4 linked regions of the Mytilus edulis genome follow. Each later gene encodes a partner of the first gene's protein in a complex. Links are inferred from orthologs where the notes say so. Each region holds a gene or a part of one and is shown on either strand. Other genes may lie near its edges. The genes, in order: dynein regulatory complex protein 1-like, dynein regulatory complex protein 10-like, dynein regulatory complex subunit 5-like and F-box and leucine-rich repeat protein 13-like.

What was found.
Region 2: dynein regulatory complex protein 1-like (region 1) and dynein regulatory complex protein 10-like share a complex: the UniProt entries of both Homo sapiens proteins name them as parts of the nexin-dynein regulatory complex. The link is inferred for Mytilus edulis from reciprocal best matches to the Homo sapiens genes DRC1 and DRC10.
Region 3: dynein regulatory complex protein 1-like (region 1) and dynein regulatory complex subunit 5-like share a complex: the UniProt entries of both Homo sapiens proteins name them as parts of the nexin-dynein regulatory complex. The link is inferred for Mytilus edulis from reciprocal best matches to the Homo sapiens genes DRC1 and DRC5.
Region 4: dynein regulatory complex protein 1-like (region 1) and F-box and leucine-rich repeat protein 13-like share a complex: the UniProt entries of both Homo sapiens proteins name them as parts of the nexin-dynein regulatory complex. The link is inferred for Mytilus edulis from reciprocal best matches to the Homo sapiens genes DRC1 and FBXL13.

Annotation. Positions count from the first base shown.
Region 1 is NC_092355.1:22,110,533-22,119,046, reverse strand, and holds the start of dynein regulatory complex protein 1-like, read left to right. Parts: upstream 1-5,514; 5' UTR 5,515-5,596; coding exon 5,597-5,712; intron 5,713-7,791; coding exon 7,792-7,992; intron 7,993-8,453; coding exon 8,454-8,505; intron 8,506-8,514. Other genes in the region: large ribosomal subunit protein uL5-like, read right to left, coding at 2,679-2,785, 4,208-4,355, 5,321-5,347. UniProt on the Homo sapiens protein: Component of the nexin-dynein regulatory complex (N-DRC) a key regulator of ciliary/flagellar motility which maintains the alignment and integrity of the distal axoneme and regulates microtubule sliding in motile axonemes.
Region 2 is NC_092349.1:64,491,346-64,499,835, reverse strand, and holds the start of dynein regulatory complex protein 10-like, read right to left. Parts: upstream 3,316-8,490; 5' UTR 3,187-3,315; coding exon 2,254-3,186; intron 1,421-2,253; coding exon 1,187-1,420; intron 68-1,186; coding exon 1-67. Other genes in the region: two pore channel protein 1-like, read left to right, coding at 3,614-3,674, 5,182-5,552, 6,013-6,126, 6,524-6,654, 7,800-7,888. UniProt on the Homo sapiens protein: Component of the nexin-dynein regulatory complex (N-DRC), a key regulator of ciliary/flagellar motility which maintains the alignment and integrity of the distal axoneme and regulates microtubule sliding in motile axonemes.
Region 3 is NC_092346.1:62,497,733-62,506,571, forward strand, and holds the start of dynein regulatory complex subunit 5-like, read left to right. Parts: upstream 1-5,652; 5' UTR 5,653-5,729; intron 5,730-8,251; 5' UTR 8,252-8,256; coding exon 8,257-8,575; intron 8,576-8,839. UniProt on the Homo sapiens protein: Component of the nexin-dynein regulatory complex (N-DRC) a key regulator of ciliary/flagellar motility which maintains the alignment and integrity of the distal axoneme and regulates microtubule sliding in motile axonemes.
Region 4 is NC_092344.1:89,673,418-89,681,410, forward strand, and holds the start of F-box and leucine-rich repeat protein 13-like, read right to left. Parts: upstream 3,328-7,993; 5' UTR 3,229-3,327; coding exon 3,151-3,228; intron 993-3,150; coding exon 889-992; intron 335-888; coding exon 238-334; intron 1-237. Other genes in the region: uncharacterized protein, read left to right, coding at 7,684-7,993. UniProt on the Homo sapiens protein: Substrate-recognition component of the SCF (SKP1-CUL1-F-box protein)-type E3 ubiquitin ligase complex.

The sequences.
Region 1 (8,514 bases):
AGATAACTCCAATTGAAAATGAAGTACATTTTTAGATTCAGCATATCAAAGAACCTAACTGATTCATTTTTTGTCAAAATCAAACTAAGTTTAATTTTGGACCCTTTGGACCTTAATGTAGACCAATTTGAAAACGGGACCAAAAGTTAAGAATCTACATACACAGTCATGACAGTTAGATTCGGCATATCAAAGAACCCCAATTATTCAATTTTGATGAAATCAAACAAAGTTTAATTTTGGACCCTTTGGGCCCCTTATTCTGTTGGGACCAAAACTCCCAAAATCAATACCAACCTTCCTTTTATGGTCATAAACCTTGTGTTTAAATTTCATAGATTTCTATTTACTTATACTAACGTTATGGTGCGAAAACCAAGAAAAATGCTTATTTGGGTCCCTTTTTGGCCCCTAATTCCTAAACTATTGTGACTGACCTTAACTCTCAAAATCAATACCAACCTTCCTTTTGTAGTCATTAACATTGTGTTTAAATTTCATTGATTTCTATTTACTTAAACTAAAGTTATTGTGCGAAAACCAAGAATAATGCTTATTTGGGCCCTTTTTTGGCCCCTAATTCCTAAACTCCCAAAATCAATCCCAACCGTTCTTTTGTGGTCATAAACCTTGTGTCAAAATTTCATAGATTTCTATTAACTTAAACTAAAGTTATAGTGCGAAAACCAAGAAAATGCTTATTTGGGCCCTTTTTGGCCCCTAATTCCTAAAATGTTGGGACCAAAACTCCCAAAATCAATACCAACCTTCCTTTTGTGGTCATAAACCTTGTGTTAAAATTTCATAGATTTCCATTCACTTTTACTAAAGTTAGAGTGCGAAAACTAAAAGTATTCGGACGCCGGACGACGCCGACGCCAACGTGATAGCAATATACGACGAAAAATTTTTCAAATTTTGCGGTCGTATAACAATGAAATGTATTATATACATGTTGACAAAAAAACACAAGAGCAAACATCAAAACTTGTAATATGCGCAAGAAGAAACGGCAATCAAGCATTTATGAATATTATTCCTGACATTATTGATCTTGTTAAAAAGGATAATTCAAAGATGTTAAAAATAATTCATAGATTCCTATTGCTTATTTAAATACAAATGTCAATTTAGTCTTATTATTTTTTGTTAAATAAATTTTTTGGTATTAGACAAGACTTTTATGCAATATGGACATGATTTCACTATGAAAAAATGTCCAACGAAGGTCACAATAGTATTTATTGTCAAGGGACACTTTTACATAGAGGTGGACAATATTTTATAATAAAATTATGTCCTGGACCAAATTTCATAGATCATATCCATGAAATTTGGTCCATGGGACATAATTTCATGGGGGACACTATTTAATCCTACACAGTAACCATAAAAATCGTCAAAGGTTGACAACATATCAAGAACTCTTACTCATGAAGACCTTGGATAATGTGTCACCTTTGATCAATATTTCAACGGAGTTGTACATTACTTAAGACAGTTTGGAGCTGTAGCAGAATGATTGTCTATCAGCAATAAATACTTCTATAGTATACAGAGATGCAAACAGTTTTTTTTTCCTGTCAGACATTGGGGCCTACAGGGTACGAAGTTTTGCCAGACCCATCACATTTCTGCCAGACCTATATTTTCACTCAAAATAATCAATGTAAAAACTTTGTAATATGTCTATAAATAACAATGAAATGTAACTGTTTCCTGTTAAGGGGTTTCCCGAATTTTCCCGCTAAAAAGCACATGGCTTTCAACAATTGTAAACAAAGCATTCAATTTGTGATCATGGATTACAGCTTTAATTAATTGAATTTGGATATAGATATTCAACTTAAGGTACAGTCAGGCAATGTTTTTACTTTTTTCTGGATTAAAACTAATTTGAAAGAAAAGTTTAAAAAATAAAATATATTGTGAATATTCAGTGACCCATAGATTTTTTGAACTCTGCTACGGAGGTTAAAGTTACGTCATTTTTCAAACCAATGGTGTGTATTCTCTGTTACAACTAAATAACTGCGTTTGATATAAATATTTCAATAAATTAACAATGTCAAACATACGATTTCAAAACTGAAATTTATACTGCAAAAGGTTTTATTTTTATTTTTTAAGGAAGGATATTTGGAAGGTGTCAGGCTATAATAGTTATCATTAAAACAGTTTGAACTCCCGATTTCTATTATGTAATCGAAGCCTTGAATGTTGTTCTATCTAATCATGCAACGTGGTTGTAAATTCACAATTTTATAAACAAAATACTCTGCCAGTACCGACGGGGAATTAAGTTTTGGCTGACCCAAGCAGACTAAAATATTGACGGCCATCAGGTCCTGCACAGCAACGAGTTTTGCCGGACCTGCATAAATTCTGCCCCTTAGGTCTGACAGGTCCGACGATTAGTTGCATCTCTGAGTATATCCTGTACCATTTAGTTAGTATCCAATCTACTATATTAAATAGACAGGAGTTGCAAATATGGTTTTAATGTTGCACAAAGTTAGTCAGGCAACAGGAACTATCCTGTAACCCGTGCCAATGTGCATATTAATGTCACTTCAAATCTCAACTAGCCCAACTTAAAACTTGTTACAATCAAAAACAGTCTTAGTATAATCGAACAAAAACAGTCTTAGTATAATCGAACAAGTAAACACATGTACCTTCAAACCTTTTTCTAAGATCTCTTCTGCCTTAGCGCCTCGTACTGTACAGTGACAGGCAATAGTTTCATTTCTTCTGATACCGAAGGACCTGACGGTATAACGTGCTGAAAGAACAACAGAATATTTAATATAAAAGAGAATTTTCAATGTTCAAATCACGTACCCATTATGGCAACAAGACAATTACTTTTAAAACAAACATTATACCAATTTCATAACATGTTCAAATATTTTTACAAAGTATAATGTCCAAATAAATTTAGTATCCAATCTACTATATTGAATAGACAAGAGTTGCAATTATGGTTTTGATGTTGCACAAAGTTAGTCAGGCAACAGGAACTATCCTGTAACCCGTGCCAATGTGCATGATTTATATGTACATAAGGATTTAAAAGTACATTAAACAGGTTGGGAACAAACCCTCTATATGGTGATTATACCTGTATAGAGGGATAATCCTTCTATAGAGGGGTAAATTTATCCCTCTACAGAGGGGTATTTTTGTTTAGACTGGATTTAAATCAAAATAGGGCAGAATGGCATTCTTTTCTTATTATGGCAGTAACCTGGAACAGTTGATGCACCAATTGGTGTACTTAATTTAATATGCACATGTCCAGTTTGATGCTTATCTGACTAAATATAAAATCTATTGTTCACCATGATTAAAAGCTGTGATGATCAGGTAAATTCTACTCACTTATGCCTCACTGAACAGAATTTCTATTGATATATTTCACATGAAATTTAAAGATCAACTATTCCTTTTGTTGTTGATCAGGTGTTCAGATAGGTAAACAATACTAGATTGCAAGTTTTGTCACTTTAGTAGAAAACTGGTTATCCCAATTTTTAGTAAAGTGCATATGTTGATGCATATAATGCTAGAGATTATAGCCAATATAAATAGAAAATGCCATTCTGCCCTAATTTGCTTTAAATCCAGTGCAAACAAAAATACACCTCTATAGAAGGATAATTTTATCCCTCTAAAGAAGGATTATTCCTCTATACCGGTATAATCACCATACAGGGGGTTTGTTCCCAACCTGTTAAAGATGCACTTATAAGAGAATTATATGTCAACAGCAAACTAAAAGAGGCAAAAAATATAACAGACAAGGGGTCTGCAGATTATCTTTGGCTTCTTCTGCCATAGATAGGCATATTCAGTGTGAAATAAAACTGGTTAATAGTTTTAAAATGTTTAAAGAGAACTAGCTATATTGGATGGATAAGTTGATGCAGCTAACTGTATAATTGTTCAGTTCATATTTTCATTGTTGTCCACTGTACTGGTTACAAAATCTTACAATAACAACAAGTTTCCAAGAGTAAAACCTAGTAATGCAGATTTTTTTTTTATTATGAATCTGGTTGAACATATGGCAGCTTTGAGACACATACAGATCTGAATGAGATGATTATAAATAGGACTATGTACATTTGAAGTGCGTTTGTTATAAATTAAGCATTTAAGAATTATTTGCAATTGATTTAACTGTTAAGAAATCCTACAATACCTTTTGAGAGCACTGGGGTCTGACCAGTTAGCTGTTCAAGCACCTTGGCGGCACGGGTAAGTCGATCACCAGACTCACCAACACAAATATTAATGCAGAGCTTGACGATCCTAAGATCTCGCATAACATTCTTCTTTTTGTCTTTATCCTGAAAAGATAAACAAAGAAAACATTTGATAAATAAAATTATAGCAAGAACACTTTCATGCACTTTAAAATATTTATATTGACCTTTTGGGACTACATGTTTACACCACAACAACTATACATAGAAATATTTGTGCGACTAGAAAATTATGATTGCAACTTAGCATCTTAAATTTCTAAGCTATTCTAATTTCTTCAATGTTACAATATATATGATCTTACAAGTTAGTGTGCATTTGTTAATTTTTACTATCTTCTGCATGGACTCAAATAGTTGCACAGCAAATTCCAGTATTTAGTTATAATTTGAGACCTCTGACTTTCATCATTAAATATGTTGACAAATCACAGGAAATCGTTACCCAATTTGATGTTTAGGGAGGCAAATAAACAGTTAGAAGTCTGGCGGTAAAGGTCATTACTACCCTCTTTTATTACTACTGAACCATGGGACAGAAGACAAAAGTGTTCGTATTTCTATTTCTCAGTTCTTATCAAATAGTTAAGGTGTAAACAACAATCTGACAACTCTGATGTGCACAATTTGTCGTTTTCACTAATTTTTTAACGATGTTCCCTGTAAATTAAGACTTTTACTTATAGTAGTGATGGCTGATGCTGAGTACTTTGAACAAGCCAAGGGGGTTGTCTATTAATATTATCACATTCGCTTGTGTTCACGGTTTGATACGAGTACACAAGCATGCAAAGAATGAATACATTCTAATGGGAGAGTTTCATTTTAAACAGTCTGCTATTACTCCTTACCATGTGGCAATACATCAAACATATATTTTTACCATAGTTTAACCCACGTCGACTGTTTTGGATTTGTACACCTTATTTTACAAAATATAAATGAGACAATTAACTATAATCAAGCTATGATATCTTGTTAAGAGACTTAAAGGTGTGTTTAGCTTTTATTATTAATCAAATAATCAGGATGACGGAAGATTTCATCACATGTAAAATTCGTAGACTAACCGCCATGATGAAAACAACAGGAAAAGGAAGTTGACCTGTTTACCCTTTCAATTCATAGAATTAATTTATAATTTTAAATAATGTAAATTAAAGACTTTTGAGTTAATTTTATACAGAAAAATACAACTTTGTAATAAAATAAATTAAAATATAGATAAATTAATACCTGAAGTACAACAACACGTGATCAATGGCCGGAACCTTCATAGCAACAATAACAACTAAACGATAGATCTTAAAAATTGTGCCGAAATCATGAGTTCAAATGGGGATTCAGATAATGAAGGGCCAACTGTTGATTCTGAAAATCCGGAGGAGAGAGTTGCAGCCCGAAGATTGCGGATCACACGTAGAATAGAAGCTGCAAAGAGGTTATTATAAATCTTCAGCACATGTCAACATAATTTATGAAATTGTCATAATTCTCAAAACTCATTAATTTTTAATAAGTTTAGGCATAAACACAAATTATATCAGTTAAAGATCTTACACAAACATTTCTTAATATACAGCAGGTGCCGTCTGTGACCTTCTGTCTGCTTTTCAACAGTGTCAGTGACAACAATCTTAAAGCATGTTGGCAATTTTTTGGTAGTGTCCAGTCTTCACACTGAGTGGCAGGCTGGCAGCCCAGGCTGGTAAAATTGCTCTCGGGCCTGTTAAAATCAGATCTACAGGGCAACAGAATCTAACTAAAAAATTTCAAAAATTGAGCTCCGGGCCTGTAGATTTAGCAGTTCATCGTGAAGACTGAGTGTCTGCGCGACCTTGCATGCAAGGATATGTAGACATATTCATAAGCTAATAGGACCTGCATCTGGTTTTATTAAAAACTGTGATGAGAATGAAACTTGAAATATACATGGAAATTATCGGTAATTGTCGATTTTGTGAATTCAGTGAAGAGAATACACCTTATATTGGTAACTGGGCGACAAATTGGGGGGTATGAGATTTCAACCAGTTAAATCTGGATCTCATTGGGGTCTAAGAGTGACACAGGATTGCCGATTTTTTGTAAGCGTGACACATGAAATTCCAATTTGTGTCCTGAAAACAGGAAATTAAATCTAGTGGCCATGGGAAATTACAATAAAAATGAGAATTGCTAACTGACAAGACAGTAAGCGGGATCTGGGATCAGAACCCCCAATGAGACCCCCTTAAATGCAAACGGATCTGATGACATTGAGTGGCAAGAAGAAAATTACATCTGACATTTAAGTATACTCTAAAAAATATGGAACTCCTATTTACAACATCTATAAAATATCTTTGAGTAAACATCACAAATGATCTACACTTGGGAAAGCACATAGAGGAGATATGCAATAAATCTTATAGGACATTTAAGGTTTACTAAAAAGAAATCTATCCGCATGTCCACTTGAAGTTAAACTCCAGGCATATAAAAGACTGATACGAACTGTAATTACCATCACTAAAAGACTGCTGTACACAAAACAGACTGATCCTTTTCTGCAAAAGCATACATGGTCAAGCAAACTTACCATCTGACCAACTGAAAAAACCATCCCTGACAAACAAGAACATGCACAGCCAACATTTCCTCAGACTTAAAACGAAAACAGAAATACAGTTTCATTCCAAATACCATCAAAGACTGGAACCTACTACCACCAGATATCTTCTTCAAAATTCATACAGCAAAAGAACCAGCTAAAACATTTAGTGAAATTGTAAAGGGGGTCCCACTTAAGTAAATTACTTGACATACGCACAATGTATTAATATCCTTGGATGTATTCACCGTAAACCTATCAAGATCAAGATAGTTATTTGTCTGCCATTACTGGACATCACAAAGGTTCCTGTAAAATTTTGACATCTTAAAGTTAATAGAAAATATCTGATGCAACAATAGAAAAGTGATTGTTGTATGATGTATGACATCAAAAGTTGAAGCAGAAGAGATTCTCAGATTTCCAAATAACCATAAGGTCACAATTTAGGTGTATGGCAAACAACATTTTCTAATTTGTATACAATTTATTAGTTAAAAATATGTAATAAATATTGCACATTAGATGTACACTATGAGTCCCTGTAAGAGAAAACATGATAGAAAAATAGAAATTAAATATAAATGCACATAAAAAGAATAAGTATATGTAAACAAATTCTTCTGTTAAAGGATTTTTCTCATGAAATTCAAAACAGAAACAAAATTTCAAAATATTTTAAAACGACTAAATATTCTAGAGCTCTGTTTGATTTGGAATACCAGGAATAGTGCATAATTGTAATGATTGCGTCTTTTTGGCTTAGTTAGGTATTGATGTTTGGCTGAGAACCAAGTTATGACATGTATGACAAGTTTCCATTGTTTTTGTTCTTAGGTCATACAAGTTGAAAACAAAAAACTAACCATGGGCAAATTTGATTATTTTGAGACATAATGCAAAATTTAATCCAGCTTTATATTTTAGGGCTGAAAGAGGAGAAGATTTAGACGATGCAAAAGAAGCCAAAGAGGAACTCAGTAAGAGCAGAAAACAAATTGAAGCTAGTCGACTTCGTTTAACTAAGTTAATTGAGGATGGTGTTGAACTGGTCACCAATATACGTGTTGGTTGTGATGCCAGGGAGGCAGCCAGGAGAACAGACGAGGAGGTTAAAAAACAGGACAGGTAAAAACTATCAGAAATAATAAACCACATGTGCTTGCAGGTTCAAATCTCATTTTGTATAATAATCAAAAGTTACTTCATGTTTCCCAATTGTTTATTTTCTCCATACATAGAAGATATTAATTAAAGGTTTTCTGGAATAAATTAAATAACTTGTGAAAATAAAAGATGAGTGCTTAGAAAACCCATCTTGCATTCAAACCTTGTTATAGGAAGTTAGTAATTTCCCCAGCTGGCCCCTTTTAAATGTTAATGTCACTGACATGATCCCATATATCACCTACAAAAAATGTAAGTAATGATATACATTAATTTTTGTAAAATTACTTTAATAGAAAAAATAAGTGATCTTCATATTTTCTGTTAATAGAATTTTTAACCAGAGGAAGGAAAACGTTCACACATTTTATGTTTAATTTATTTTCTATTGTGTCAAAAATAATGAAACATTTTAATTTCAGAAATGGTAAACTTAAGCATGAAGGGAAGACAATGGCTGAAAAATTTGAAAATGTAAGATTT
Region 2 (8,490 bases), on another chromosome or scaffold:
TCTCATTCATTTCGCCATCATATTTCTGAATTAAACCTTCAACTTGTGACTCCACCTTAAACTTCATCTGTTAAATATAAAATAATATTACTGTAATTTAAGAAATTTGTAATATACATGTAAAGCTATGCAATCAGGAGCCAATTAGTTGTTCTCTGTCTGCCAATTTTTGGTTCATATCTTTTATCGGGCTGATATTTTTTTCTTCATGTCATGCTTTTATTATGTTAATCATTCTCGTAGATAATAACTATATAAATCTTAAATTGCTACAGTATTTGATTTACAGTGGCCTTTGTTTACATCCACTATCTTTGTTTTCGAACGGATTGTAATTGTCTCATAATTATACATTTTAAGTACATGTACACAGTAATCATATACCCAATCTTAATATTTTTAAATCAGAATTCAACATCATGTGAAATCTGAATATATGTAAATTTTTCAATGATAAATTCAGCTAAATTCAATGTATGCATAATCATGCTAATGTCATCTTTGAATTTGGTACCAAAAAATTGAATAAATAGCAGTTTGAAATGATAAATGTCATTGTATTGGTTATTTTTATAGGCCAGTTATTATATTATTAATACTACAATAGAATTATTTTGACTTTGTTCAACAAGATTTATATATATCTTGTAACATAATATGGCATTTTTCCTTTGAAGTTTTTACGTGATATTCTGCTTAATAGTTCGGTTTCTGAAAAACCATGGTTATTATAGAAAGATTGATATGTTATTCCATTAAAAAAAGTCATGACATACTTTGTGCTTGCAACTTCATGTAGATAGGTGGAGTTTAGACTATGGTTTAATCTGATATTTTTCATGTTAAACCATGATTTAAACCCTGCCTCTTTGTTACGACTCTGTTCTGAATGAACCGGCTGATTTTCGAAAAAATTGACTGGATTGATTTTCACGTGCACACGTTAAGCAGGGGGCTGGAACAACATTCCCACTGGGTTTTTATTGGATAAAAAATCACCAGGCCACTTTTGAATGATGTTACAAAACATATACACCACGCCTTACTCATTAACATATTTACATGTATAGAACTCATCCTGCGGATTCGTCGTTTAAATATGCTAACTCGTAAATAGCATTGTATATATTATACTAATGCTACATGTATGTATTTGAGATATTTACAGCATCAAAATGTATCTTACCCTTCTTAGATCTTGTTCCTTTTCTCTATGCTCCAATACAAGGTTTTGAAGCTGGGTTTTAAGTTGTACTATTTCATTCTGCAGCCTTTGTACTTTGCCTTCATGGTTCTTTTTATCAGCTGATTCTTGTTTGTCCTGTTCATTCTTAATCCTTCCTATATTTTCTTTGGAAAAGTTTATAATCTGTTGTAACTCTGTCTGTAGCTTTTTTATTACATCATTTTTCTTCTTCATCTATAAAAGAAAGAAAGAATCTTTATACACACATGTTTAAAAGAAATAATCTAGCTGGTATCTATGACATGTATGATATGAAATAATGTGTCATATCATTATACAATTTATATTATTATAATGTGTTTAAATTCATACATACATGTATACATTTTGAACTTAAATAAAATAATGTGATGTGCAATAAATAGAACTTCTTGCCAACCCCTATTACTATAACACAAACTGGTCAGACTATAAACATCACTAGGCGCTGTTAATTATGTGTATTGTCATCATATCTTCTATAATTTTCTGTATAACTATTACTGTTGACAATAACTCTTTTACAGACTACAATAATTTGTTTCTGCTGTTTGTGCTACATGTACATGATGATTGTGAGTATATATTGCTAATTTATTCACACAATTTTGTGGTGGCAACATATACATGTATCTGTAGTTGAAAGTCATTAAAATTTTAAAATGTTTCTCTTTTACAATAAAGGTTCTCTTTGCAAAAGTTAGACATCATTGTAAACCAAGTGAGGCAAATTATAGTATTCTTTTTAAATTTTATGAGACATGTTTGATTATATATAGTTTTACATGTTTTTGAGTTTAAAATATTGATTCAAGAATCTTAAAAAAAATTCAACTTCTGTAACTTTATAACTAAAAATGGAGAACATTTTATCATTGAGAATGCCAGTATGATTTGAAATACAATAATTCAGTGCTCTTAATAAATGCATATCATCCACAATGTATCAATAAACATGATGCATGTAGACTGACATGTTGGAGTCAAAAAATTTGCCAAGTATTTTTAAATCCATCTAAATATTATACCTCTTCTTCCTTATCAGCAACTGCAGCATCAAGTTCTTCTTCCATCTTTGCAATGATAGTAGCATTGTTTCTCTCTCTTTCTGAAACTTCCTGGATGTAAGCCATTCTCTCTTTTTCTTCCTCAGGTGTTGTTAACAGTTTATTCAGTAAGATATCTCTCAAATCATTCATGTAAGATAAAAGCTGGGTACTCTCTTTAGGTCGTGCATGAAAGTGGGTCTTAACAGAATTAAATGCACTACCATTTATTTGAAATTGTCTGAGAATGTTTTTGCATGAGGAACTAAGTTGCTGAGCTACCAGACTCAAATTCCGCATTGTACGTTCTGTTTGGCTGTCAAAACTAGCAACAGAAGGATTAGATCTTCGACTGCTAGCACTACTACCTCTAGATGGAGGCTTATTAACAGGACTCTGTGGGGGACTTTGGCCTCCATAAACGGAATCTTCATCTTCGTCATCTTCAGCAGTAGGTTGAGTTTCATTCATATCATTTTGTTGCTCTTGTGATGCATCACTTCTGACAGAACTGGCTGATCGTATTCTATTCCTTTGCATTTGCCTATCAAGCTGTTCTTTGATCTCATTGTAACTACCGATTATAATACTGTGGTTCTCTAGCAAGCTGCAAAGTTCTACCCCAAAGCTTATTCGAAATCTGTCCAAATTTTCAAGAATGTATGGGATCATTGAGGAAATTTCTATTCTTTGTATTGTGTCCTCAAATACTGACATAACACGCTGTGCTTCAACTGTGGCTATTTTTTTTCTTGCAGGTTCTAATGCCCTCGCTGGATCTAAACGGAGTCTGTTTCTTATTTTCCCTGGTCCTCCTTTTTGAGGGGGTACGGGAACTGTTAGTTTCATGTTTAAAATTGGCTCTGTGGCAATTGAACCTGTTAATGTCTGTGTTCGCATTGCTGTGGTGGCCATTTTCGCACAATATAACGGCGATAACAACGTTTACAATAGGCTTATATGTATATAATTCCTAATTTACATCGTCAACATTACCAATTCACTGTTTATCGGTCTTGCAGCCGCATTACATTGAATTTGTTTAATACGCATTCCCTAGCAACAAATAGTACTTCTACAATTTCTGTGTCTCTCTTTTTTGAATAGCATAAATCTACAAAATAGTTCGATGAAATGAAAAATACAGTTTTAAAAAAAAGAAAAAAAAAGAAGATATTAGTCTCCTAAGGGAATAAAGCAAAAAATGTTGCTCATGATTTTATTAAGTTGTCATGGAACTACTTTTAAGCGGAAATAACCTTTGTTCGGAATATTTTTAGAATACACATGATACATTCGCAATCCTCTATACTTATCCTTGATTATCAAAAATGAAAACAATATGGCGGGTAATATTGAAAGTCCCCTATTAATCAGAAATGAAAATGGATTTTCACCCTCAGGTATTTATTATTAATGTGCATCTCTTTTTGAAACACTTAAGATTGACTATTTATACTGGCTAGTGACATTGCATTTTAATTGCTACATTGAAAAAATAGTGTTGCGGAAAGTCAGTGAGATAATAGTTTATTTTTGAGTAGATAACAAGGGTTAAATTAGTCCAAATGAACCAGTGATAAATAAAACCTGACAAGTTTGAAAATACACAGTCACTTCCATGATCCAAAGAAAGAGACGCACAGCCTGTCAACTGTCACAATATACCACACTAGTCACTAATGCTTAAGCATGAAAGCAAATTTACAAAATTTTGAGAAAATTGATTTGGCAGGTAAGATTCAATTATTGCAGGGTGTGTTTTTATTGGGTAGTTTGATGCCCTGATGTCAGTGTCGTTTCCTAAGACACATTAATTTGGTTTCCAGACAATAACTTTAGTTTAAGTGAATAGATCTGTATGAAATGTATTCAGAAGGTTCAAATCCACAAAAAGGAAGGTTAGGATTTATACACCTTATCGCTATTCCCGGCTGACCCGTCCGCTTGAACTTTTGACGTCAACAACAATCACTTTTCCATTGTGGCGTCAGACATTTTGTTTTATGAAGTCAAAATTTTACGGGAACCTGTGTGATTTCCAGCAATAGCGATAAGGTGTATTATGGGGATGATGGTCCCAACCGTTTTAATAGATAAAAGGGGCCCAAAACAAGCATTTTTCTAGTTTCAAAATAATTTCTAGTGTATTAAATATTTTGATTGCTCTGAAATTGTACCACAATGTTTAATACCACAAGTAGAAGGCTGGAATTTATTTTGCACGGTTTTGGTGCCAACAGTTTATAAACCTAAGGGCCAAAAACAAGTATTTTTGTAGTTAAATCCAGGCAATAACTTGTGTTTAAGTGAATGGATCTCTTTGAAATTGTACTACAAGGTTCCATACTACAAAGGAAAGGCTAGGATTGAGTTTGGGGGTAATTGCACCATTGTGAATTCGAAAAGATAGAGGGGGGGGGGTTCTCTATTTTTTTTACATGTAGTTCAAATTTTTTTCAAAATTTTTCAAATTTTAAATTTTTTGAAAAGTTTCAACAAGAAATCTTCAATTGCACAGGGTTGCACAATAAATTTGTAAGATCCTTGTCAGACCAATTCTATTTCTGTGTCAGAAACGTAATTATGTAAAAAAAAAAAAAAATGATCAAAATTCAAATTCAGACATTCTCAAGCTTGAATTTTGTGTCTAAATTTGCTAACTGTTCAGGAATCGACATCTGGGGTCGTTTCAGGTTTATATATAGAAACCTTTGATCAATTTTAATGAAATAAAACTATACATATCAATAAGATGTAAAAAGCTCTTCGTTGTTCAGTAATAAAAAGTATGATGCCCGAGGAACAACAGAAAAAAGGAACGGGCGTCAATAAAAAAGGGCGGAAGCTGCCCTCTTCAAAGGTTGTAGCTAGAACACTGTTTATTTTGGTTTTTAATGTCTATTTCAGATGAAGACCAATATGATGTTCCATCAAACAGAATACACAGTAATGGTGACTCTATTTATGATGTAAACAATGGTTTTGGATCTAACCATCAGATTTTGGAGGGCCAGGGCACTCCATACCATGCCATCACTAGACGACATAAACAGTATAAAACTTGGGAACTGAATTACCAAGAGGCAGCTATATATCTGCAGGAAGGGGAAAACAATGATAAATATAGTACACATCCCAGAGACTTTAATGCATTGCCAGCATATAAAATTGCTCACAAGAAAATTTTCTATGCTTTAGACTTATTTGCAGCACTGCTGGTAATGGGATTAGCTGCCTGTGAACGACCAGCAGTGCCATTTTTAACTCTCCCTGTAGGGGTAAGTTACCATATAATTGTTAATTGTCAATGTCTTTTTAATTATTGACTGGTAAATTCAACAAGCATTTTCCGAAAGCTCAAGTCTTTTGATTATAAAAATTTCCAGCAAATTTAAACTGAGTCTTTTATGAAGGGAAGGAAAATACAGTATCATTTTCATTGTATGTTTTTCATTGCCTTTGTAAGATGTGCTAGTCTTATTCTTTAAAAAAATATTGTAAGTGGTCAGATATCAACTTTTAACCATAAATAATTCAAATCATGACAGAATCATGAAAATCAGACTGAATAAGCAGAAAGCAAGCATAAACATACATGTATATATAAAGCCATTTATTAGTTTTCTCAATTTAATTTATGAAATACCTTTGTCCAACAATAACATAGATTATGGCTCCTGGAAAATGTACAGTTAAGTCAGGTATAAAATGTGTTCTTGTATTAGATGTATTTTACAGGTTCATGGATCACTGGAATTGTTTGGGCTTTTGATATTAGCGTTAGAATTAGGAATACGCATGAAGTGGCTAGGATTCAGAACATTCATCAAACATAAAAGAACTCTTATAAAGGTATGTAGATTAATTAATGATTTTTTTTTGTATCAATAGAAATACTTATTTATAGACAAATGATTATTTTTATGCCCCAGTTTTTCTGTGTGTGCGTCTGTTCGTTTGTTACTCCTTTCGTTTGTTTGTCCTGCTTCAGGTTAAAGTTTTTGGTCAAGATATACGTAGTTTTTAAAGAAGTTGAAGTCCAATCAACTTGAAACTAAGTATACCTGTACCCTATGATATGATCTTTCTAATTTTAATGCAAAATTAAAGTAAGATTGATGCAAAATTTCAAGGTCCACTGAACATAGAAAAGGATAATGCGAGTGGGGCATCTGTGTAATATGGACACATTCTTGTTTTAATGATAGTGCAAATTTAACTGAAAGTTAGTAATAAAATTATTTTTCAGAGTTGTACTTTGATCATCGTATTTATAGAGACTATAGTTGTGATAATACGACAGCATAACCATTTTAGAGTCACAAGATCACTGAGGCCATTGTTTCTCATAGATACATACTACTGCAGAGGGGTCAGAAGGTATGTTTGTTAATATTAAATTTTACCATATTGTTGAAGCGATTATTTGTAATCATGCTGATAGAGGGGTCATTGAATATACAGCAGTATAATATTGTGTGCTATGGAATTTTGGGGAGAACAATACTCTATTATGGTCAAGGTACCCATATTTCATGGTTCACTGGTTTGACACATTGTGTAAATTTAAGTTTTACATCAATCAGAGTTCAGGTTTTAGACACAAACTGACTTCTCACTACATTGAAGACCTGTTGGTGACCCTCTGCTGTTGTTTTTTATTTGGTCGGGTTGTTGTCTCTTTGACACATTCCCCATTTCCATTCTCAATTTTATTACAATCATATAACTTGTTTTTAAGAATGCATTTATATTTCACTGTTTCACAGATTCAAACATAATTATGGAAATGGATTAAAATAGAGTTTTCTTTTCCTTCTAGATCTTCCTAAAGAACAGTTATTTTAAAGAGTTCACATCAATCTTAAGTGTTTATAATTTCCCTCTTAAACAAACACTTGAGAATTTAAATTACTTTAGTTTCTCTGAGTGACAGGAAGCAACCAGTTAAAATAAATATTGATTAAATTTTATCCTTATTTTCAAAATTCCAATTAAATTTTAACTGAACTAAAATTATGTACTAGCTAAGTGTTTTATAAATAAAGTTCAAGGATTTTCGTTTCAATCTAGAGCTTTTATTATTTAATATTTTAAAATATTCCAACAGAATTTACAGTTTGTGTCTAATATTATTAGCTCACATGGCCCAAATGGGCTATTTTAATCACATGTGTCTGTTAACATTTGCCAAGATCTCCTTTGAAACTACCAGTCTAAATGGAACCAAACTTTGTAACATTCATGTCAAAATATGTTGAATAAGGCTTTACCACCTGTTTTACCTTTTGTCATGTGTATATTAGCTGTATTTGGCAGAATTTTTGGGAATTTTTGTCTTTAATGCTCTTCAACTTCGTACTTTATTTGGCCTTTTAAACTTTTTTGGATTCGAGCGTCACTGATGAGTCTTTTGTAGACGAAATCCGCGTCTAGCGTATATGCAAAATTTAGTCCTGGTATCTATGATGAGTTTATTTTCTACATTTAAAAGCTGAAATTGTTTTGTTTTGTATTTATTTCAGAACATTCCGACAGATTTTACAGTCCATGCCACCTATTATAGACATGTTGTTGTTGTTATTGTTTTTCATGTTGATATTTTCTATATTAGGTAAGCTCTATATTACATCTATAAGTAAGCCTATTGAACCCTAAAACTTTTATTATCTTATTGAGAGTGAAAAACATCACCTGATTGAAATTTCAAACTGAGACAGTATTACAGAAGCAAAAACAACATAAAAGCAATGAACAAACAATTGAAGATCAAATTAAGATGTGGTATTATTGCCAATGAGACAACATTTTGCCAGAGACCAAATGAAGTTTTGAAGCTGAAGTATGTAAATAGGTCAAATTTAGACAAGAAAATTCAATGTATATGTGGTATAAACTAATAACATTTCCAATTTTCAGTTAATTTTTATAGATAGAATCATAATTCTTGCATGTACATTTCATAGCATGGACGTTTATGTATCAAATATTAACTTAAAGTTAACTAGAGCCTGTGAGGTAATGGTTTTAGGTAAATTAGGATGACAGCTAGAAATAAGATAAAAGTTAATGTGTTGCTGTATTGTACAGATTTATAGCGCCTATCATTTTGGACAATGAAATCAGTCAATACACTTCCAGAAAATTTTACTGTAAAAACATAATTAAAAGTCTTAAAAAAAGAAATCTTACATATTGCTTTGTACAGTAACGAAA
Region 3 (8,839 bases), on another chromosome or scaffold:
AAAGTTTGGGACCATTTTATTCACAAAAATTATTTTTTTTCGGTTTCCTGTCATAGGCTGGTTAAAAGAGGTGCTACATGTACATAAGACTTGTAGACAATTCATGAATGCAAAACTATCTAGAATTCTTCTGAATAGGGCACATCATTGAAAGTTGTCTAAAATACCCTGCACAAGGCACCGGAATACCTTATGCAGTCCACGAAAAATTAGTTATTTTATCTAAGAACATTTTAAACTACAAAGGTACCCTGCACAAGACACAGGCAAGCCTTATGCAGTCCTCAAAAATTAGATATTGTATTTAAGAAAATTTAAAACTACAAAGGTACCCTGCACAAGGCAAATGCATACCTTATGCAGTCCGTGAAAATAAGTTATTCTATTAAAAAAAGTTATTTATTCAGATGAGGAAATAAAACAGTAGGTATGACATTTGATAATACAAATATATTGAAATAAAGATAATTCACTGTGCTTATGTCTCTGAACAGGTGTTTTTTTTTTTTTGAAAGATGATGTTCTTTCGCTGATTTTTCTTTTTCTTTGACCAATTTTTTACTGTCTTCTTGCCATCACTTGAAATAGACACTTTGTTGTCTTTTAGCACAAGGTTTAGTGATTCACTATCATTTTAGTCCATGGTTTATTGAAATTGCGGTCAGGGATATCTCCCATAGCTGCTGAACATTTTTTTTCAAACAGTTTTCAAAATACCTATGAAAGGTGTTTGTAGAATCCATGGATTTTTCCGACGTAGTCGGTATAGTTTCGGTTTGTGCCCTTTGAACTTAAGGACGCTTAACTATGGCAACAGAATACACATGCTCGAAAATCCTTTCTGTGATTGGACAAAATGCTGTCATGGTGGGTGATTTGGTTTTGTTTGAAAAAACGTCTCGTTAATTATATCGTGATGGAAAGCAAGTGAAAAACTATAAATATTTGAACTAGATCTTACAAAGATTTATATTTTTATTAAAATAATTGTTTCTCCAATAGCTCTTTGCATCCATGACAGCTGTTTATTCGGGACAATTATATTATTTTTAACTTTGTTGTACGAACGTACATGACTTTTATAACGCACCTACGCATGTGAGATTTCTGTGGGGTTTTGGTGAATGTAAACAGAAAGATACAAGGACCGAGAATACTGAACACAAACAGAGAAAACTTGTAGTTACATTCAGATGGAGATTTAATTAAAGAGGTCCTGCATCATTAAGTCATTGTGCTTCTGAAGGTTATCGAAATGATAGTTTTAAACATATACTCAAATTTAAATACGTCGGATATCTTTTTTAAAGTTAGTTCTTGTTTACTATCTCTTCACTTTTTGCTTCAAAACATATTACACCATCTACAGTAAGAAGGCCAGATCTCCAAAAGATGGATTCCAAAATCATGTCTCTGTCTTTCTTATCAACAGTGTAGTCTATTAATTTCTGCTCAGCATTTAGACGTAAATAGTAGGTACATAACATTTTGCCAGATTGAGGAAATGCTTCTTTAACTGCATTTATTAATCCGATTTCCTCATCAGAACCTAAGACCGGTTTGAATTCTCAACACCGCGAAATTTTACTTTTAGATAGTTAAAAAAATTGATGAAACATTCAAAGTCACTATTTTCATGTGTAATAACGGGTCCGAGAAAAAATGGGAGGGTTCTGAAGTTGTTTCCATATTTACAGCAGTCTGTTTGACGCATAAGGCGGTCATTTGCATGTCACATAAATTATTTTTTTATCGCTACCCACTGTCATGACTGTAGATTGGCCAAAACAGTACAACCTTTTGATCTCTTCTAACTGCTGTTCTGTGTATACAATAAGACAAGTGGCTTTGTCATGGTATCTGATGATGGACTTAAGCTTTATAATGGAGTCTTGTTCTGACAGTTTTTTGTCTTTTTCATTGATTTAGTCTGTTATATTACAAAATGTATTAACCCTAGTCATATATTGACCACAATCGTTTTTTCGTTGATTCTCTTGGTCTCTGTACTTCTTATCTTGAACTTGAACTCTCCTACTGGTGGTATTTGTTATGTTTATATGTCAGTTTGTTATCAATTGAAACATTCAAAGGCATTTCTTTTTGCAGAAGATGAGATCTGACTTCTCAGACAAAACAGTTCAATGCTGGAGTGCACACATAGGCAAAGGTACTATTTTTGAAGAAAAAAACACCCCAGTATTTTAAAAATTAAATCTCACATACAACATGATAAACCTTTTGATTTTAAACCTATACATGTTCACACAGTAAACAAACTTGTGAAAAAGATCAATATAAAACAAGCTACTGGCGTAGATCAGATATGAACTAAACTACTACGAGCTGGTGCAGCAGTACTCAACAAACACATAACAACATTAATAAATAACACCATAGAATCCAGTGAGTTTCCAAACAGACTCAAAGAACTCAGGTTGTACCATTACACAAAAAGAACAAGTGAAACTGCGAGCTACTGCTCACTGATGATACCCCCGCCACAAGTGGATAATATTAATAGTGTAAAAATATGCAAGTGTTCGGTAAACAGGAAGTTATCGAGTGATGACTCTGAAAAGGCATCACACGGTATAGCTGACTTATATAAACCCTGAAACCAAATTTCAGAAATCCTTGTATTGTAGTTCCTGAGAAAATTGTTACGAAAATTTTCACAACTTGGCTATCTTGGGTAAAATCATACAAGTGTTCGGTAAACAGGAAGTTGTCAAGTGATGAATCTTAAAACGCATCACACGGTATAGCTGACTTATATCAAGCCTGATACCAAATTTCAGAAATCCTTGTATTGTACAAATGTTGTAGTTCCTGAGAAAAATGTGACGAAAATTTTCAACTTGGCTATCATGTGTAAAATCATACAAGTGTTCGGTAGACAGGAAGTTGGCGATTGATGAATCTAAAAACGCATCACACAGTATAGCTGACTTATATCAAGCCTGAAACCAAATTTCAGAAATCCTTGTAGTGTAGTTCCTGAGAAAAATGTGACGAAAAATATTCATGGGACGGACGGACTGACTGACAGACTGACGGACTGACGGAAGGACAGACAGAGGTAAAACAGTATACCCCCCTTTTTTTCAAAGCGGGGGTATAATGACCCACTGGATAAAAAGAAATATAGACCTGTGAGCATTTTACCAACAATTTCAAAAGTATATGAAATGGTTATGTCTGACCAGTTGACTGAATTTTTTGAGAATATATTTCATGCTTTTTTATGTGCATTCAGAAAAGGTCATGGATGTCAGACAACTTTGCTGAGACTCCTTGAAGATTGGAAAACAGCCCTGTATAATAATATGTATGTGGCAGCTATTCTTATGGATCTTTCAAAAGCTTTTGACTGTTTACCACATGATATTCTTTTAAGTAAATTATCTGCCTACGGTCTTTCTTTTAAATCAGTGAAATTACTTCAAAATTATCTTACAGATCGTAGGCAACAAATCAAACTTCAGGGAGTACTCAGCAGTTGGGATGAAATCCAGAAAGGGGTACCCCAAGGCTCAATCCTGGGGCCCCTATTATTTAATATTTTTATAAATGACATATTCTATTTTATTGAACATGGTACCCTATATAATTATGCTGATGATAATACTCTGTCATATGCAGACAACAATTTTGAAAATTTATTATGTACACTTGAAAGAGAAAGTGCTGTTTTAATTGACTGGTTTAGTTTTAATTGTATGCAGGCAAATCCTGACAAATTCCAAGCCATTGCAGTTGAAAATAAAACATTTGCAAAAAAGCCCGTTTTTGATATATACAGTCAGCAAAAATATCCTGTGATGAGATTGTCAAACTTTTAGGTATTGATATTGACTATCAACTTAATTTTAATCACCACATTAAAAATATTTGTCGTAAAGCATCCCAACATCTGAATGTTTTAAAGCGCATTGGCTGCTACCTTACTAAATTGAATAAATTTACCATTTTCCACACATTTATTTTATCTAATTTTAATTTTTGTCCTTTGGCATGGCATTTTTGCAACAAAAATAACACCACCAAATTGGTAAAAATTCAGGAAAGGGCTTTACGATTTATATATGAAGACTATGTTAGTTCATATGATGAACTAATTTTACGAGCAAAGGTTCCATCATTGAAAATAAGACGTATGCGTAACATGGCTATTGAGTGTTTTAAGATTTTATATAAATTGTCACCACCATGCTTACATGATTAAGTAGTATTGAAAGATTGTAAATATAATTTTAGAAATTCTAATATTGTAGATATACCAGAAAATATATTTTCGTCTCTCTCGGGAGTTTAACACAATATGACAATGAAAGACAGTGTGTACCTAATAATTCCCGCCAACTTTTACATTATTGAAATCTAAAATACCTAGCCTTCCGAAAAACATAACATTGATGGTAAATACCTGAGAGTGCTGAAAATATATTTCCGGTAGGTGTCACTTTAGTACTTTCATTTTCAAATGTAGGGCCTCGATTCGTTCTATTTCAGAAATGTCAAGTTTGTTTTAAGGACTGCAATAGTTATATGGGAACGAAGTCCCCAATAACAGTAGAAAATTCAATAAAAAAAAATTAAAAAAAAAATATCGGGAAAATTTTTTCATTGTACTAATGAACTCAAAATCATTCAATTTTTTTTTTGTCGCGTTTTTGAATTTCCAGATCTGCGCAGAAATCTACAATGTACTTCCTTTTTCCGGTCTCGTTTGTATGAAACTTTGAGTAAAATATATATTTATCAGTCTTGTATAAAATAGGAAAGAACGCAATACCAATTTCATTTTTTATAATTCCTCGATATGAAAAAACGTTACCTGATGATAGCGTTTCTTTGTTTACATTGTATATGACGTCATTACTTAAATAACGTCACAACTAAAATCCCTAACAACAGGTCAGAACCAAAATCCGGGAAACGTTACGGTATTTCCATTTCTTTTTTTTTTTTAACAAATATTTAAGGTACAAAAAAATAATTCCTATAGACTTCGTCCCCATTTACAGGTAATGCCTGCCTCATATTAGAGGTTACTTAAGGTAATAAATATATGTCATCATGGTCATTGCAGAGATAATTCAAGTGGGAACAGATTTATTCAGTTCACAAAGGAAGTGAAAGTCTTAGAAAAATTTTACAGCAATAATTTGAAGCATTGTCGCAAATGAGCTTCCTCCCTTGTGTTTTTTTTTGGGTTTCGTATGGATAGTAAACCCGGCAAATTTATTGTAACAAGCCCCTGTGCTGTGCTTCTACCACTATTAAAGTGACCACCATCATTAGGTTGACTGTCCTGTAAATGTTTGTTGTGCGCTTGTTTACCTTGGGAAATCGTGGTACAGTTGTATATAAGATCTTTAATTTCGGGTGATTTTCAACAGAACCAAAATCGGAGAGCGTTTATACGGTATTTCCTATTCTTTTCTAACACATTTTGAAGTTACAAAAAAAAATCATACAGACTTCGTCTCCTTTCACAGGTAATGCCTGCCTCATATTATCTACTTTACATTTAATTCAATATACCTGAATTCATATGAAATGGGATATATTTAAATGAAAATGAAAAACTATGTCAGCAGAAAACCTGCAGATGGGCGCAGCCATTTTGTTTTTCCACCGGATACGGAACTCGCTTGAAAATCTACTTCCGGATTGTCATAGTAACGAGAAGCTTTTAGAAGATCATACTGCAGAGTAAACTGGTAAATTCTATTCTATGTTCAGACTTTTGCGTCACTTAAATGGCAAAATAAGTCTTAATATACTCTTATATCAAAGACGTTTCTGTATATAGTGTGTAACATAATTAGAGCAAATAATTATCACAAACCTTTGGGCTTGACATCAGTCATCACAGTATCAGAATATTTTGTTACTCACATGTACTACTATTTGAGGAATCCGGGTCCGTTCGCCCTGATTTTTATTTTTTTCTAGTTTTTGTCTAGTCGCATTATTTTAAGTATTTGAACAAAATATGTTAAAGTTTGGTTTTTTTTTTTAATTTACAGAATATTTATATTGCTGCAATCAATTTATCATTTTCCCTTTGATTTGCAGAGTAGAATACTGGAATACAATGTATTCATCTTTATTGATATAAATTGTTAACAAAATGATTGTATTCAGTCAATCACGAATGTATGGCAGTATGACTAGTCTTTATAGACTAGAGTATAAATAAATAAACTTGTAAATTTTATCCGTTTCATAATTTACAGTTGTACATCATTGTTTTTATTAATTTCAAGCTGAATATTTTATCAAAACAACAGATTTGTTTTTATTATTAATCGGCCAAAAGACAAGTATGACACAATAATCAGTGATTCAAATTATTTTGTCAGTGAACAATTAATTATCCTAAACAAGCCATAAACTTTTAAATATTTCAATAAATTTCAAGAATATTATATACATGTACATACCATAGAAATATCTATTTTCATTCAACTTCAATGCCCTCAATATTAATATTTTTATAGTAGGGCGAACAAACCCTATGGGTGAACGAACAGACCTAGGGGGAACATGTTTTAAGGGGGAACGCTCCCGATACCCTACATGAGGGTTGTAATGCCCTTTACCTTCAGGCATTAAACAGTCATTTACGGCTACCATTAGGGTCAAATTGGTTAAAATTTTACCATTATTCGTCAAAATATCCTTATCGTAATTTGTCAGATGTCTCAAATATTTAACGTTACTGTTATATTTGGAGAAAAAAAACAGAGTGATTTATCAAATTAAGCTGGTTTTTTTTAACGTCATGCACTAAAAATTACTGTTAACTTCATACGACAAGAATTTTTACTGTTATACACCATGAAGGTACCCCCATTACTACCCTCCTACATGTATATTATATACATGTAGTACCATCTATACAGATGGGGTACAAGATCTGACTACCAATTCCAACAATATGGAAGGAATTTCAAATATGTTGCTTTATCCTTAACAATGACTAGTTCTTGTCATATATTATTCATAACAAGTACTCACATCTTGAAATTAATAGCCATTAAGATTAATTTTACAAAACCACACTCATTTAGGCAAATGCAAACATCTTAAGACAGCTTTAAATGATATGAGACAGGCATTACCTGTGAAAGGGACAAAGACTGTATGAATTATTTTTTTTAATTAAAACATTTTAACTTCAAAATCTGTATAAAAAGAAACACAAATACTGTAAGGTTTCTGATTTTCGGTTTTGGTTCTGTTGTTAAGGATTTTATTTGTGACGATATTTAAGTTATGACATTCTGAATTGAAAATGCTGTAGATGAAGTCTTTATTTAAATTTTTAAAAATCACCCCTGTATACTTCTGCAGTCAAAGAGCTCAGCATTTTTTTGGGTATAAATTGACCATGACAATACCTATAGCTTGGCAATTGATCAAAAATAAAATAATAAATGACTGTCAGAGAAAAAACTATTAGATGTTGAAATCAAAATTGGTCAAATAAAAGGTATATTGAATTTATTTAACTTTAATTTTGTCTTCATATTTTTATCAACAAATTACAATATTAAAAGCTAGTTTAGAATTAAGGTATAAATAGACTCACTACACCAAATTGTTTAACACATTCATTTATACATTGTAATGCTTTAATAATATGTTGTTATATTTTCTGTGAATGATGTAAAATTCATAATTAATTAACTGTGATTGTTGTCTTTTAAAATGACAATTTTGTGAACACTAATTATTAATTAGTGACAAAATTTGAAAACTTTTTGATAAGCTGTCACATGTCATGGACCAGAACTTCCAATTAGATTTAAAAACAAATAACCTAATTACATTTTTCATTAAAAAAAGTAAGTCAATATTCATTTGCAGTGGATCTGACTGTTATTCCTTTTAAGTTAAATATACCACGTACATGTATACAGGTAAAGTGCTTGAATTAACTTATAGATATTTTCAGTTGGTTTCAATGCTAACAAAAATATTGAAATACAATTTAAGTAGTATCTGGATTAGGCTCCTCTTTTTGCTAGAAAATTTACTACAGATCATGTAAAATTAACATACATGTAATGGGAGAGTTATAATATAAACCTAACATTTGCAGTTGTAGTACACTTTTCTCCAGTTTAATTTAATAAGCTATAGGACTACAGTGTCTAAGAGGCACAGATTTGTTAAAACTTTTACATAATTATTTTTTAAATGAAAACTGATTGCAATGATTTATTATTTTTAGCCAAGATGTCTGATCCAGCAGTAACAGATGGTACAGGGGAAGATAAAATTGATGACGATGCCAAAAGTACAAAGAGTGGACCAAAAAGTCAGCCTGGTTCTAAACAACCATCTAGAGCTGGGTCTGCTCAATCAGGGAAGAGTGGGAAGAGTAGTGGTAGACCAGCTATGGCAGCAACTCCTGCTGGATCTGTTAGGGGAGATAATCCAGCAGCTGACTGGAGACAGATGAGGAGAATTATAGCTGAAGATCCAGCATATTCACTGGCAACTGTCCCATTACTGGTGGATTTGTGTATCAAACATATAGTTACACATTTTGATAGTAAGCAAATAGTTTTATATCATAAATTTCTAAAATAATTATACATTTACAGTAGGAAAATGTTAAACATAATTACAATAACCTTGACTTACTTTTAGGATAAAAGCCGATTCTCAGAAACTGTTCATTCTTTAATTATAATGAAAATTGTGGTGAAAATATTACTAACTTTTGCCTTTGATAGTTTTCTATACAATATTTTTTTTTGCTCATTATTGAAGGCTATAAGGTGAACTGTAGTTTTAACATCCTTTCCTTTGATAT
Region 4 (7,993 bases), on another chromosome or scaffold:
TACAATGTAGTTGTTTCCAATCAATCAATCATTTTATTTCGTTTTAGCTTTGAGATGAATCTATTTACAATTTTACTAAAAATTACATGACCAAAACAAAAATAAAATATAAAAAACCTAACCTAAAAATATAAAAAGAAGTCATTTATTAACATAATATATTCTATCAAACATTAATTATTAGGACAACAAATGATTATATGTGATCATTATTCTATAAAAGCTTTAGATACATACAATCATACTCTCATCATCAAGGTTGAATATAAAATCCAGGTTACTTTCTGTGATTATTTTAGCTACAGGTCTCATGCCTTCATCAACAAACATATCCCTGAAAATATACATATCAATAAAATCTTATTACCTTAAAGTTTATTATTTCCCACCTTAGTTTCATTATTATACAAAAACATCATATTTTTTTTTAAGGACTAATGGTTTCATGTATTAATTTACAATTCAAGTATACAAACTTTTTCTATAATTGAAAGTCTTAATTACTTTTATCCTTTTATACAATTACAGTCTGACACCTCCAAAACAACAAACTTGTATATTAATTTATTTTACCAGTAAATCAAATTGAAAAGATGACTCATCTGCATTCCACTTATCGTAACATGTATACATGTAAAAGTAAATAAACTTTTTCTACAAATAAAGTTTTATATCTATTTGACAATCCTAACCTAATACCTTGAAAACTTGTACATGTATGGAAAGACAGTACAGCTGTTATGCATTGCAACACACAATACATAAATTTTTGTCAAGATCAGTTAGGATTAATAACAGGAGACTTTAATATGCAAAGATAACTTGATTGACAGGCAAAATCAAAATCTGTTGTAAATTGTCCATTATTGTACATATGTATATACATACCAATTAAGTTCTTCCAGACCACCTTCAGTCAGAAACTTGAGTTTGTCCAGTAAAAACTGTAAGGGATCTTCAGGACACATAATTGCAAGTCCAGTGAGTAGTGCCTATAAAAAGAGTTGATAAATGGTAAAAAAAGAATCATGATTTAATATCAACATTGAACAAGAAAGCACTTCAACAACAAATTTAAAAAAAGCCTTCTAGAGGTACAATATATTTGTAATTTTGTTTTTATATAATATAATATGTCATGCTATAAATTCATTTAATAGACAACTTTCGAGTTTGATGCATTCCCTCAGAAACTTTGGTTTTAGTGAACAGCATTTCTTGCGTTTAGGGGTGTCGTCACTTCCATCTAATGTTGAGCGAGTGGTTGGAAAATTATATAGACAATAACTGTTTAGTGTCTTTAAATATCAGCAGTTTTTGTAGGAGGCTAGGAAACAAGGTGTATGCATGCTTTTAGCGAGCTATTACACCTGTTTCGAGCCGAGTACAAATACAGCTGATATCTAAAGACACTCAACAGCTATTGTAGTTTATCCTGCAATTAATTCTGTATATAATTTGTGTTTTGAAAGACACAAAAACACATGTTTTGCATTTATTTTCTATTTGAAATCCCTTTCAGCCCGTGTAGTAATAAGATACAGTAGTCACACATTCAGCTGAAGACGGTTTCGCAAAAAAAGAATCTTGAATGGTCAACAGTAATACATCGCTCAAGGTGAATAATTATAACATAACAACTTATTTCAACAGTAAAAACAAATAACAAAACATTGTCCAATTTGAAACAGGAGTGTATGAGTTGTCCTATGCTTCAGATTCGACATTAGCTAAACATGCATACTGAAATTGACATGGTTATTTTTGTTACACAATCATACACATTCAAGTTTTGAAATCGATAGTTGTCATCTTAGAAAAGACATCATGTGTGTATGTTATCAGAAAACTGGTGCCATTTTTATTGCTCTAAAGAAATGTGTGAAAACAAACAGAATGTATAAAAGTAATCGTTAATTCGCAATTGATACGTCATTGGAATGCGACTGCAATACACATTCTGAGGTCATGCAGGTTCATACAATACTCAGTCGGCAGTGGGTGGAGCTTTAAAGTGATATTTGTATACATGTAGTATACAGATACAGCATAGCGATATCTGTAGGGCTGTATCTGTATAGTAGAACACCCAATTGCAGGATAAAAAGCTATATTGCACGAATTATTCGGCAAATTGAATTCTCAGAATTGTCTTTCAGCACTGCTGCCATTAGGGAATTGCGATTAAGTACCTGAAGAACAAACATTATTTTTAGTTTATCCTGCATGCACACTGATGATCACTAAGACGCTTGATGAATGTTTATGAAGTAGGGATACAGGCGATCCCCTCTTTCTGGTAAATGATGTCATAAAGGCACACATAATTGACGAGGTTTTTTCCGGTGACGCTGGTCTATTGTCTTTAAAAGTTATCAATGAACTGAAACAATCTAAGATAATTCTGCCATCAACACCAAAAGGGTGTGCAGCAAATAGAATTCATATATGATTGGCTGTTAAAAACGAAGAAAGGATGGAGTGTGATGCATAATTGGAGATACAAAAGGAGTCAACAGTTTACATTTACTGATTTAGCTGGTCTAGTCAGTGGAGAATACTGGAGATCTTCTTTGGCTCATTGAGAGCACGTACTGCCTGCAGATCCAAATATTGCAGTTTCTAATCTCGCTGGTACATCCATGTATATTTATGGTAGTGAAATTAAGTATCTCAGGCTTTCTTTTTTCTATGTTTCTCATATGCACAGTAAACCTATTTAATAATGGGTCCTGCTATGCTGTTTGACATCCCAAACATCATAAAATCAGTAGAAACACCAACAAATAAATAAAACTACAAAATAGGTCTCAAATTGTAGAAGCACATATAGGAAGTACAGCACCATTTCAAGAACTTGCAAGCCCTGTATCTCTATTCTGCATCTAAAAAACTATATAAATTACTGTACGAAATTTTCTATAAGTATAAATAACATCAGTCGTCTCAGTCGTCACTGTACATTTTGTACCATGTGAGGAACAATGCTATAAGTACAAGTTGTGTCAGATTTGACATTATGGTCAGGACCAGGACATTTTGCTTATATTAAAGATACTTGTCACCTGTCATTTTTTTAAACAATACAAATAAAAGACAAAATGATCTTATGAAGTTATAGCCAAATTTATTGCATCTTTAAATGCATACCTCATAAACATCTGGTAACTTATTTGACCGCAGATAAGTCTTTAATTCAGGGTTAGAGGATTTCATAGATGCAGCCATTTTCGGAACTTTATATAACAAGCAGCGTGAACTGAAAATAAATCAAATTATCGTATTTTTGGAATCCATGTTGTTTGTGTAGCAACGAAATATCCCGGATAATGATTATAATATTCAAGTCAATAGCGTAGCGCACCTTGCAATTTCCGGAAGGAATTGTGGAATAATCTTCTATGTATATGTATTTCCTTCTTATTATGGAACATATTATAGACAATATCCTTTTAGGAGGGGGAACTTATTCAAACTTGGACACACTAAAAGTTTTCCATAAATAACTAAAATTATTATTTTTCAAAATCAGAGTTTCAGGAATTTCAAAATTGAATCAGTGAGATTAAAACAAAAATGTTTTCACTTAACCTGTGATCATCCCACATTATTGGTGGGGATCGTGCTGCACAATCTTTAGTTTTCTGTGTTGTGTCTTGTATACTATTATTTGTCAGGTTTTTTTTGTTTTTTTTTGTTTTTTTTGTGTTTTTTTTTTTTTGCCGCATGGGCATTGGCGTTGTCAATATCATAAAAAAAAGAAGATGTGGTATGATTGCCAATGAGACAACTCCACACAAGAGACCAAATGACACTGACATAGAAATTAACAACTATAGGTTACCGTACGGCCTTCAACAATGAGCAAATTCCATACTGCAAACAATTTAAACGAGGAAACTAACGGCCTAATTTATGTAAAAAAAATAAACGAAAAACAAAAATGTAACACATCAACAAACAACCACTGAATTAAAGGCTTCTGACTTGGGACAGACACTTGCATTATGAATGTGGCGGGGTTGAAGATGTTAGCGGGATCACAACCCTCTCCTAACCAAACCCGACAGTGGTCACGTAAGAGGGGGGGGGCAAGGGGGGTCCCAAAAACAGCAAAACAGCAAATTGATTTGGCTCATAACAGATAACAAGGAATTAAAATGGACAAAAACAGATAACAGTAAATGAAATATTAAAATAATTCGGTCTTTGACAAATCAGTATTTCTTATTACGGATATAATCCTTTGTAATGCATTCCATTTTTTATGACTATGTTTTAGTATTAATTTATGTATCTAGAATATGTTTAAATTACTACTCAATATATTATAATATTTTGTATACTCTCGTTTACGGAACGTATTATGGTATACTGTTGTCCGTCTGTTGTCAACATGTCGGACATTAACTCAAAAACTCTATAACCATTTGCATTAAACTTTGGGAAATTGTTTATATCTATTGACGCTCCCTTTTTTTTTTTCTTTTTTTTTCTATAAATTTTAGATTTTAAGTTTCTGGGTAATGGGTTTTTATTCAATAAAATTGGTGTTTTTTTTTCAGTTTTCTGATAATATCTCAAAAATGCTTTCACAAAGCAAGGAATTTTGGTGAATTTATCGTTTATATCTATTAACATGAGGTCACTTTCAATTTTTATAAATTTTAGATTTTACGTTTCCGAGTTAACGGGTTTTATTAATTAAAAAGGGGTGATTTTCCAGTTTTCAGACATTAACACAAAAACGTTTTCAGCAGTTCTCATGAAACATTGGTGTATTGTTTATATATATATATTGACTGAGGCTCCCTTTGTTGCTAATCAAAAAAGTGACCTAAAAGAGTTTGAATATTCTGACTTTTTCTAAATGACCATTTAATGAGGTGTGTGAATTTTCCTTAATAAAACTATGAGGCAAAGTGGTATATAGGGTAGAAAAATCAAAAGCACCAATTATAAGCATGCAATTTATCAAGTACTTTGAACGAATTTTGACACTCTAAAAGCAATTTATTCCACTATTTTCAAAGGCCTTATTTGAACAATTTTTTATCAGCTGAGGTTTTTGATTGTACCAAATGTACTAGTAAGTAGAATACATAGTTTAATAGGGAAACAATAACTTGAAACGAAATAACTCTTTGTTTGTAATGAGTTATGTGCAGCTTCGGACCCAAGTACATGGTTGGAACTTTCATTGTACAATGCATTTGGTTCTGCTTTGAAAAGAATTACAGAGCTGTGTCTATGTACCATATTATATAAAAGGTTAAGTGGTTGTTAGGACCTAGTCCTTAATTGAGATCCTTGTCAGATATTCCTAGCCATATGTTTTCCTTTTTGTCATATTAAGAATTGTTTTAATTTAATATGTTCGTACGGAAAACAAGGAACATTATTCTCATACAAAAAATTAAGATAATTCTAAATACACATTCATAAAAAAAAAATGGAATTTATTACAAAGGATAATCATAAGATATACTTGAATTGTCCTGGACCTCACTTCTGAGATGGGTATATGTTAATGGAATCCTTCTCTGAATACAGGACAAACATATTAGTAGTGTTAGACCCCAATGGCCAATGATCTTCAATTTATACCGAATATTGACTGTCAAAAAAAATGCTAACATTCCAATTTTCAATAACAGTTAACAGCAAATACATTATCACAATAACAGATAACAAAAAAACTAAAAGCCCAATAACAGCTAACAAAGAATAAGACAATAACAGCTAACAGCAAATACATTTTCAAAATAACAGATAACAAAGAATTAAATTGCCCCATAACAGCATAACAGTTAAACCCCTTGCCCCCCCTCACGTAAGAGTACAAGAAGTTTTATTATAAATATTTTTCCATCGATCTTTGAATCCAACGTTGGCTTAGATTTTTTTTTATCATATTGAACATATATATATATATATACATACATATCTGTATACTTTTCCCGGAATTTTAATTGTTCACATATTATTTGATTTTATTAGTAAATGCATTAATAAGATAAATGCAAAGATGGCATAATACTTGTGATAGAGACTTAGTCAGCCGTGAGCGGTTGAGCTAAGAAAGTACTTCTTTAGCTTAGTCGTTATGCCGCGCTGCTTTGTAACACAGAGGTCCCGGGTTCGAGTCCCGAGCGCGATGGGAACTAAGCACTTATAGTACTAGTAACAAAAAGAACTTAATGAACTATTTATATTATGTCATGAAATCTTAAAGATTTTTGCACTGAAATATTGGACCATAGTTATTGATTTATTCCTGTATGTAAAGCTTTAAACAAAAATTAAACAAGACAAAAGTTTCGTTATAATTACAATGACTTGGTAAGCAGATTAAAATTTTGTTTAGCATTTTTTTTCCAAATCTTTTTTTGTATTTCTAGTCTATTTGTATTACATTATTAACGTTTTTAACGTTAGCATAAATATTTTCTAGCAAATATATAGACAGGAAAAACTAAAAAAGATTTGAAAAAAACATTGACAAACAAAATTCTAATCTGCTAACCAAGTCTCTGTGAGTGAGAGGGTGAATGGCAATCTTAGTTATAGCTTAAGCACATACGTTTGTGAACTGGTGTACATGAAATATCTTATAAAGTCGTGTTATGTCCATTATACATACTGTAACTAAACTTTAAGAGACATGAAGGAACAATTGCAACAAATCTCATTGCAAATTTCATTCTTCCAATTAACATTTTAAGGAGATATAAGATGTGGTATGAGTGCCAATGGGACAAATCTTAATCCAAGTTTCAAACCTGAAATACTTACCAAAAATATGTTAGTGTTCTAGATGTTTGAAAACATTCATTGAAATAAGAAAATGACTAATACCACATTACTTTAATCTTATCAGATGTGCTTTACTAGTCATGGAATGCACTACAGAAGGACAAGTGTGTTAGATAACTGATATTAGTATGGTCAAAGTGGAATGACGTATTTATTAGAGACAATCATTTCCATAAACCATGCTGAGAAAATTCATTTTTTGTCAAGGTGACGACAAAACAGAGGAAAACTAAGGTTAGTATAGTAGTTTAAACTTTTATCTTCATGAATATATCTACGATAAAGAAAATGGTAATGCTACCAACGATATAACCCTTTTTTTTTTTATCTTTATTTGAGTTCAATGATCAGGCCAGTACAAGAGTGATCCAGCGGGAAATGTCTGGAACAGATGATAGCAAGGAACATACCTACAAGGTTCATGGTCAAGCAAATCTACCTTTAAAGTACTAAACACAACACTATGTAAATAAAAATATGCAGTTACATACAAACACCCACACATTTTAAATCATCACAAGCATTAAATCGTCCCTAAGTCTGCATCTTTTTTTTATCAAATGTATTTTTGTCTTTTTTATGTTCTTCCACATTGACGAATATCCCACACATAATTAGAACACACCAGCTATCGGACAAATTATGCTATGTCCTAGGCTAATCTTCTAGTCTAAGATTGTCGTATATATAGTAAAGTGGCATGATTCCCAAGTACGTCGAACTTCTTACCAAAGCAGTGCGGGATAAGAAAGTGTGATTGGATAATTATATATAATATATATGTAAACGTCATTCTAAATAATTATACAAATAGCACTGATTTATAATCAGTTATACTTAAAACACAACCGCCATCGGATACCAAACATGGAATCGAAACAAATTTGTATTGCTACCATGACATTAATTTTCTCAATGCAGCTCATTTCGGCATACAATTTACAATACATTGGCAATTTTACAGTCAGCCATCCAGGATTTTTGAGTTTGATTCGAACACAGGATACCGGGAGAATAAACGACGATTATTCCTTGTTTGTGTCTAGTTTTAATGGAGCACCTTTTACTACAGATCACGTGTACTTCGTACCAGCAATTGGAACTGTTGTACAAACATTTCAAAGCAATGGTCACCATACAGTGAAACATACTACATTGAGTAGTAATATTGTCTGGC